2 linked regions of the Rattus norvegicus genome follow. The protein of the gene in region 2 purifies or fractionates together with the protein of the main gene of each other region. This does not show direct contact. Links are inferred from orthologs where the notes say so. Each region holds a gene or a part of one and is shown on either strand. Other genes may lie near its edges.

Region 1 (4,460 bases), on a different chromosome or scaffold from region 2:
GGCAGGAGGATCTCAAGTTTAGGGAAAATCTGTACTACACAGTGAAACCCTTCCTCATGAACAGCACCAATAACATTTGTCTGTCTTCCTATTTTCTGTCAGTCCTGCTCTTGTCACTTAAAACTTTCCCTATTATCAGGGCTTGCAGGGAGTGCCACTGTTCCTATTCTATTGGCTGCTGACAGACTACCAAACTGTTGCCACTTTGAGTAAAAAAATCAGTAAAGAGGATCAGAGTGTGTGGAGGCTGGGTTCTAATCTGTCTCACCACTATCTGTGTAGCAGGACAGGGTGGTGGAACTCGGGTGACCACCTAAAAGGTCCCTCTGGAAATAAAGAGACTGGGTGTGCCTCCACTAACAAGTTTTCCAGCTTATCAAGTCACTTGACCCACCAGAGAGGGCTGTTACCTTTCAGACATTGACAAACTGCACAAGCTATTATCTGTAATCTGTATCACAATCAATACTGGACACAGACCTTGGTGTGTAATGAGGAATCCCAATGTATACACACTCCCACCCCAGCTACCTTTAGCTTCTCAGTAGGCAGTGTCAAATCTTCAATAGTAGATTCAGCATACACAAAAAGATGCTCTTGCTTGTCAAGATTTCGAATCAAAGAAATTTTCATTTTTCTCTCCTCACCATCTCTAACAATTTCATGAATATAAAAGCTCAAAGGGATTCAAGAAAGCCAACAGGGAAGAAAGACCATGAATGACATAGCAGCCTAGAGCACGCTGGGTCTAATGGGACTCACTGATGGCTCCTCAGTGCAAATGACATAGCCCTTGTGATTAAGAGTAGATTTAAACCTGTGTATCAGAGCCAGGAGGTGGTAGCTTATGTCTTTAATTCCAACTATGGAGGCAGATTTCTGAGTATGAGGCCAGCCTGGTCTCAAGAGGGAGTTTCAGGACAGCCAGGGGACACAGAAAAACCCTGCTCATCAATGTAACATTTAATTCTAAGAATCTGAAAGAAAAAAAAAAAAAAAAAAAAAACAACTTGACCCAACACTTTCAAACCATTGTAACAAGCTATTGCATGAACTTGCACAACAAGTTTTTTCTCTTGGTTAGGCTTCCTGACACTGTGTTACCATAGCAACTGCTTGTCTAATTTACCTTTACATTAAAAAAAAAAAAAAAAAAAGGTGTTTTGAAGCCTGTCTGGTCCTGGGCAGAGGAAGCAGCCCATTGGAGTGAAGATTGTGGACATCCATTCTACAAGGTGCAAGAGGTGTAGTGGACATCCCAGCTGCATGATTTTACAATTAGAACTGTGTGTGTGGGGCACAGAACTAGTTATTGCTACTTTCCTCTCAGGATGAGTAGACTGAGTATGAGTCAGCTGTTATTCACACTGTCTTAAACCTTGTGTGCAGTGCTAGAGACCAAACCAAGACTTCATGCAGGCTAGAAAAGCACTCTACTATTCCGCTCCTAAACCTTTTTGAAGTAGCAATTCTGTACATCTGCCTCACAAACAAGAGAACAATGTGATGATCCAGTGACTCAGACCCATTTTCAAACCTAAGGCTAAGTGATCGACATTCCAATGAGGGAAACCTTTATGCTGTGGAGACAATGTAACTCCAACAATGTAGCTCCCACATCTGCGATTGGCCCTTGACCACAGCAGAAACCAGGTAGTAATACTGTGCATCAAATCTCACAGTCTAGGCTATTTCTAATAGCCCTGCTAAAAGCTCAAAGGTGAGGACTTTACAGTCACCCATGTCAGACACTGTAGATACTGGTTAAGACAGTGGAGAGACATGAGGCCAGCACACAAAGCACCATGGCATCTCACCATTCTGACAGTCACAGCAGAAAACACCAGAATCAGCCTGCAGGAAAAACTGCTGACCACTACTACTTGTGAAACAAGAACTACAACAGACTACTCCAACATGGGTTGTGGCATCAACTACTGGGCCCTCCAGTGACTTCTGGGACCAAATGCAGCTGACCCTTCCTTTCCTGACAAAGCAGCCACTTGCTGTTTGAATGGGAGAATTCCTTCTTGATGCAAGCAGATTCCCTGGCATTTAGTGTTTGTTATATGTGGCTAGACCACATAACATATGTACATTACAACCTGACATGGCATGACCATCCTGAATAGACAGCCAGAATCCTGTACTGGATCTGGCCTCTGTACCTGCATATTGCTCAGAGGCTGGGAGCAGGTTATTCCATGGGCAGGTTAAAGATTCTCCAATTCAGAATGGCCTTTTCTAATCCACCAAAAGCATAAAGGGAGTCAGCCAAGAGGCGAAATAACGCTCAAACCCCTCCAGAGGCCACTGGGCTCTAGAGTGCAGACCCCATTGCAGATCTCATCGAGGGTATGCGGGGCCAAATCACGGCTAATTGGGGATCACAGTGGGCATTCTGGGATCCCCTGAGATCCGAATATGTGTTAAATCCCAGCACCCGGTCATCAGTTCCGAGTCCCTGTCCGACACCTGTCCCTTTCCCTTCCCCCTTCCTACAACTTCGGTCCTCTAGGCCGACAGGAACAGGACTCGAGAGACAGAGGAGGAAGACCTCGACACCCGAGTGACCTTGACGCCGTCTCAGGGCCACCCGAGCCTCAGTTTCCCCAGGCCCAAGGCTCATGCCGTTTCTGAAGCTGCCGGTTAGCCTTTAAGAAGGGAAACTCCGTGACCCCCGAGCCCTGCTCCCCGCAACGGGCTCCCGGGCCGTGGAGCCTAGGAAGGGCGCAGAGAGGAACAGCAGGAAACCTGGCTTCCTGGAGAAGAGCCGGCGTCCTGGCCGGACTTCCGGGCTGCGGCCCGCGGCGGGCGGCCTGGCGTAAGGGCCGCGGAGTGGGGGAGGGCCAAGCGGCCGTGGGCGACGCGGGACTTGGGGGCGCCCTGATCTTCTGTCCGGCCTGCCGCCGAGCCCACTGAGCACAGACCTCAGGCCGCCCGACCAGACTCGGTCCTTAGCAGCCGCAGCCGAGAGCCCCGCGATTCCCACGATGACCAGCCCGTGGCCTCCCCAGCTTCGGCCTCAGAGAGCCCCGCTTCTCACCTCCGCGGCGGCTGCTCCCAGCCAGGCGTTGGTTTCGCTCCCACAAGATGGCGGCGCTGACGGCAGCCACGTCAGCGCCTGCCGCGGGGCACGCCGGGGGAAGAGGGCGGGCACGCAGGAGGCCCCGCCCCTTCACGAATAGCGCTTGCGCGTCTGCACCCTGACGCCTTCGTTGGGTGGAGCCAAAGTCGCTCTGTTTCCGGATCGGGTCCCGGGCTAGCACACCGGCTCCGGAGATTAGAACGCGCAAGGGTGTGGTGCATGGATTTCCCTGTCCTACGGCGCGTGCGCACGCGCATCTTCCTGCGGAATTCCAGCCCATTCCGCGGATGCGGGGGTTGAGGCCAGTAAGCGTTCTAGAGCGCCAAGGTCAGAGTGGGAAGGTCGTGTTACCCCTGGGAGTGTGATGTCCTTCTCAGAGTACCCCAGGGTCTCTGATACTTCAGCTGAGTCGGGGCATTGAAGAGAATGATGTAACAGACAAATGGCCAAAGTGGGAAGAAGCACAGGCCAAATGTCAGACAAACACCATGTCCCTACACTCGTCTTGGACCCGTGTGCACACTCAGAGCTGACTGAGAGGACTAGAGACCTGTGCGGGCATAGCACTGCCTGAGAGGCTACTCTGGGTTGCCCCTAATGGGGTGGCCTCCTTCAGGGTGCAGGAGAGAAGGTGGAATCCGTTAACTCTCCCCATCTGTGCTGGAGTGAGGCCCAGGTTCTGTCCTCCCTGTCCAGTTCTTCCACTCCATGTGCTGTTGTGAGGACTCCCACAGGCAGGAGATTTTGAGGGACTTAGGAGATTCTTTTGAGCCTGGAGCCTTATCTATTGAGTTGGCAGGAGGCAATTGTGTTGCCTGGGCTTACTTCAGCCACTGTTGTGTCAAGACACAGGGTGCAGGGCATCCTCACTGCGTTTGCGGGTTGAGACCTCTAGAACCCTCCCCAGAGTTGTGAGCCTGCCAGGATTCTATGCAATAATCACCTTCTTGACCCTAAACGCATCCCTTTCCATCACTCAGGGCTCCATTTTTAAATGCTGCTTCTGTAAATTTCTCTGGGGGCACCTGCCTGTTCTCTCCCACCCTCAGCACACAGCAAGTGTTTGTGAAAAACATAAGGTGGTGCTGCCTATACACACCCTGGAGAAATGGCAGGACGTTTCCAGAGGCCTGAGATTTCAGCCATGTCAGAAGCCTGTCTTAGCCACTTCATGGATAAGGAGACAAAGAAATGGGGTGTCTAGAAAAACCACAGGTTCATCAAGAACCAAACTCCCTTTCTGTACCTAAAAAGGCAAAACTGAAGAAGTAGAGACAGGGTGGTAGTCCTCTTTATCCTAATGTCACCCCTATACATTGTAGTCCTACTCAAAAAGTCACCTGTAGGGGCTGGGGATTTAGCTCAGTGGTAG
Region 2 (4,306 bases):
CCTGGATTAGGGAGATGAAGAGGTGGGTGTTGGATCTGCACCATCTCCGGGTTTTCCTGCCTGACATTGCAGAGCTAAATGCGCAAATCCCTTCTGGGTGTGTCACAGGCGTTGAGTAACTTAACTTTAGCACCTAAGTTCTGCTTGGCGGTGAATGAGTCAGGTTTCCCTTGCCCTGTTTGATTGTGTTACACTATTGAGGAAATCTAGATTTTTATGTTAAAGTAGACTTGTTTAAATAAATTAGAACTTTGTGTAAAAAAAAATAGCAAGCCTTTGAAATTAATGTTATTCCTGGGGTTGAAAGACAGGGGACAGTTGTAGTTATTGTGAGTGTGTTATGTTGAAAGGCCAAATTGAGCAGTATGTCGGGACTCTATTGACTGTGTTTCAGGGCTTAGTCATTTGGAAAAACTTACCAATTACATTTTTGTAGAGCGACAAGTAAATTTACATTGCTTATTTTGAAACCAGGGTATATGTTATTAAAAGACGATGCATTTGAAAATCTCTTTTTAAGCAGGTGTGGTGGTACATGACTTTAATCCCAGCACTTGGGAGGCAGAGACTGGTGGATCTCTATAAATACACAGAGTTAAGTTCCAGGACAGCCAAGGCTGGTAACACAGGGAAACTGTCTCTAAAAAATATTTTTGTGAGTACACATGTGTCTAAGTGTATGTGTTCATGTAGAGATCAGAGGACGACACCTAGGAGATGGTTTTCTCCTTCACCCTATGGGTCCTGAAGTTTTGAACTTGGGTCATCAGGCTTGGCAGCAAGCCCCTTTTCTTGCTGAGCCATTATCTTGGTCCCTTCGGAGGGAAAATACCCCCTTTTATCCTACAAATGTATCTTAAGTGATGAACTGATATAAAGAAAGCTGACTTACAGACTTTCAGACAAGTTAGACCTAACATGAGAAGGTTTGTTGACAGACTTTCCTCGTGACCTACATTAATATTTGGGCATTTGTAATGAAGTTTTAAATTTGTTCTATATTATGGGAAAATGCAAAGCTAGCGATAGTATGAGTTTGACTCTCAGAGACAATAATGCTGTACATCTTCCGACACAGTCTTAAATTACAGTACTGTATGCTTCAGGATCGGCACCCAACTTAGGCAACACTTGAAAAAGTCATTTCATGGCCCCCGGTGGAGGGGAGACTGTACTGCCCTTGTTTAGCGTGAATCAGCCCCTTTAGTGCAGTGTCTTAGGGGACACAAGTGAATCACAGTTCTCTTTGTTTAAGTGTGTGCTCTGGCTTTCTTGGGCAACAAGTGCAAAACTGAAGCCTTAACTCTATTCTGTGTGGCTTTTCTTTTCTCACGGCGGAGCGTCTATTTAGCATATGGGGCGTGGTTTGAGTTCATTATTGAAGCTTATAGGCTAAAGTGCTCTGTGGGTTTGACCCAGTTGAATTTCCTTAGGGAGCCTGCCAAAGTTGAGCTTTGGAACAGGCCGGCTTCCCCTGTTTTTGTGGATTTGTAGGATAGCCAATTTCCCCCCATCTCGACTTTCAACTGCTTTGGACATTAGCTTCATAGGAAGAATTCATTCTTTAGAGTAAAATGGAGCGCCGCTTTTTGCCAGGGGCCCCAGGTTAGTAACGCTTTGAACTTTCTGTTTTGTGTCAGATTTTCTTTCAGTGCCATCAGGGAGATGGGGCGACGATAGGAGAAGGCTTGTGCTATTGCTTCGTTAGAAAAGAATACTTTTGATTCGGTTGGTCCTGCGGGGCTGGGGTGGGAGGGAGTGGTTACGTTTTTTCTGACTAAGATACTTTTTCTGTCAAACCAAATGGAGGAGCCAAGAGGAATGAGCAAACGTGTGCTGGAGTCGTAGTTTAAAGGGTTGTAAGGGTTTGTAAGCATTTTTTTTAACTTCCTTTTTTTTTTTTTTGTAATGACTCTATGTCCTCCTAGTACAGTCAGGCAGAACTCTGATTTTATGCATGGTGATTTTATTTTATTTTTCGAGCTAAGTGGTGTGCTGCATTCTAGCAAGACCCATCTTGCACTCCACTTGTTGGATATGGTTTTCCCTGGGGCCTACTCCTCTGAGTTCCAGCTGATTAGATGTCATGTCACTTTTACTTCAAAGACGGTCCTGTGAAATACCTACAGAATGACTGGTGTGGGTGAAGCATCCAGGTGGGCTCAGGGGGGACTCAGTTCCTCCTGGGTCCGTTGCTGTTTTTATTCAAGTAGCTCCCTAGACTGAGGTCACCCTAAAATAAATATGCCTGTAAAATTGGAGTGTGATGTGTAAGACACGAAAGTAGTGTTAATAATAATAATAAAGAAATGATGCCAATAAAATTAAGAGAATGGCTCCCTCAGTTTCCCCAAGTTAAAGAGCTGGGGAGTAATTGTGCCTCTGTTCATTTGCCCCGGAGCCATCTGGCACGAGAGTACTCTACAAGGGGGGCTCCATTTGACACTGTTTCAAAATGTGTGCTTCATAGGAACTATGGCTTCTCTTTCCTCGTATATGTAAGCTGCATCAGTTCAAATGGATACACGAATGTTTTAAAATATACTAATATATGCTATTATGTGTCTACTATTGCCATTTTCTTCTCTTTTTGTCCCATAGGACAGGCAGTGCGTCAGCGTCTGTTTTATCATCTTTTTCTTTTAATTATTTTTAAGGATGGAGGGAAAAGGGAGACAGAAGTGTTTGTGCATTCATGTGTTTGTGTGTGTGTGTGTGTGTGTGTGTGTGTGTGTGTGTGTGTGCGCGCGCGCGCGCGCATATAAAGTGAAGGCTGCAAGCCATTTCTGATTATGACAGTGGACTTTACACCCAAAGACATAGCACAGTTACATTATTTGTAACTTCCCCACCTCCCCAGATAAGTCCTTTAACCTCCAATCTGCCAGACAACTTTGCCTTCTTAAAAAGAGACAAAGATCGCTCTAGCTTTGCTGTACTTTATTTTTATTTTTTTTTGTTTTCTATTTATTAGATATATTTCTTTATCTACTTTTCAAATGTTATTCCATTTCCTGGTTTCCTGTCTATAAGCCCCCATCCCCTGCCCCTCCCCCATACAGGTGTTTACCTCCCCATCCACTCCCCTTACCACCACCCCCTGCCCCGACATTCCCCTGCATTGGGAGTCCAGCCTTGACAGGACCAAGGACTTCCCCTACCACTGGTACCCCAACAAGGCTACTCTCTGCTACATATGCAGTTGGAGCCCTGGGTTAGTCCTTTGGGTAGTGGTTTAGTCCCTGGAAAAACTAGTTGGTTGGCATTGTTGTTTTTATGGGGATGCAGGATCTTTCAATCCTTCCCCTAATTCCCCCAAAGGGGTTCCTATTCTCAGTTCAGTGGTTTCCTGCTAGCATTCACCTCTATATTTGCTTTGCTGTACTTTAAATGTATACTATCTGTTCATTCCCACTGCATACATATGACTGTGGTGTTACCATGTGTATACTCCCACTGCATACATGCGGCTGTGGTGTTACCATGTGTATGCTCCCACTGCATACATATGACTGTGGTGTTGCCATGTGTATGCTTCCACTGCATACAGCAGTGGTATTGCCTAATTATTAATTATTAAGTGCCTTTGGAAGGCTTGAGAGAGGGTCTCTCTGTATAGTCCTGGCCATCCTGGAATTCACCACATAGACCAAGGTGGCCTTAAATTTAGGTCCTCCTGCCTCTGCCTCCTGAGTACTAGGATTAAAGATCTATGCCACCATGCCCAGCTAAATGCTATTCATTTAAATCTTAAAGGGGAACATTTATCAATCTGATCGCTGATGGTTTTAAAGAAAAATATAAAAGCTATTTCACTCACTGGTCACTTATCTGTGCTAAGTATGAATAAAATTTATACAAACTCACACTGCTTATGTGTCCTGGCAAAAAATCAACTTATTCTAATGTGCCTCTGAGCTTTTCTACCTAGCAATGACACACACTGATAACATATCTCTGGTGGAAATAGAAATAAACAAAACGACACAGAATGTTATAAGTGGGAAACCACCTACAAGCCAGATTTAGGGGATTTCCCAAAGCATATACACACACACACAAAAATACATTTTCTCTGAATATAAGGTGTATGAAGGCTATGACTGTTTGATCTCTAAGAACCAGGGCTGGACTCTCCGAACCATCTGGACTCCCACTTTACAAGAGTCACGTAGTTCTCACTGTCCTGACAGGCAGGTCTGGCACACCCTACATTACTACTCCTTTGGTGCACGGTGAGCAGATATCAGCACTTGACCGTCTCTATGACACCATATCTCAAACTGAGCTTCGAGCTGGTTAATTT

The links.
Region 1: the proteins of Pld1 (region 2) and Arf1 purify together in Homo sapiens (affinity purification with western blotting; 3 studies listed by BioGRID, with this or other methods). This does not show direct contact. The link is inferred for Rattus norvegicus from reciprocal best matches to the Homo sapiens genes PLD1 and ARF1.

What each region holds. Positions count from the first base shown.
Region 1 is NC_086028.1:44,510,905-44,515,364, forward strand, and holds the start of Arf1 (ADP-ribosylation factor 1), read right to left. Parts: upstream 3,091-4,460; 5' UTR 3,047-3,090; exon of another isoform or gene 2,755-3,046; intron 1-2,754. UniProt on the Homo sapiens protein: Small GTPase involved in protein trafficking between different compartments. Modulates vesicle budding and uncoating within the Golgi complex. In its GTP-bound form, triggers the recruitment of coatomer proteins to the Golgi membrane.
Region 2 is NC_086020.1:112,820,755-112,825,060, forward strand, and holds the start of Pld1 (phospholipase D1), read left to right. Parts: upstream 1-1,421; 5' UTR 1,422-1,605; intron 1,606-4,306. UniProt on the Homo sapiens protein: Function as phospholipase selective for phosphatidylcholine. Implicated as a critical step in numerous cellular pathways, including signal transduction, membrane trafficking, and the regulation of mitosis.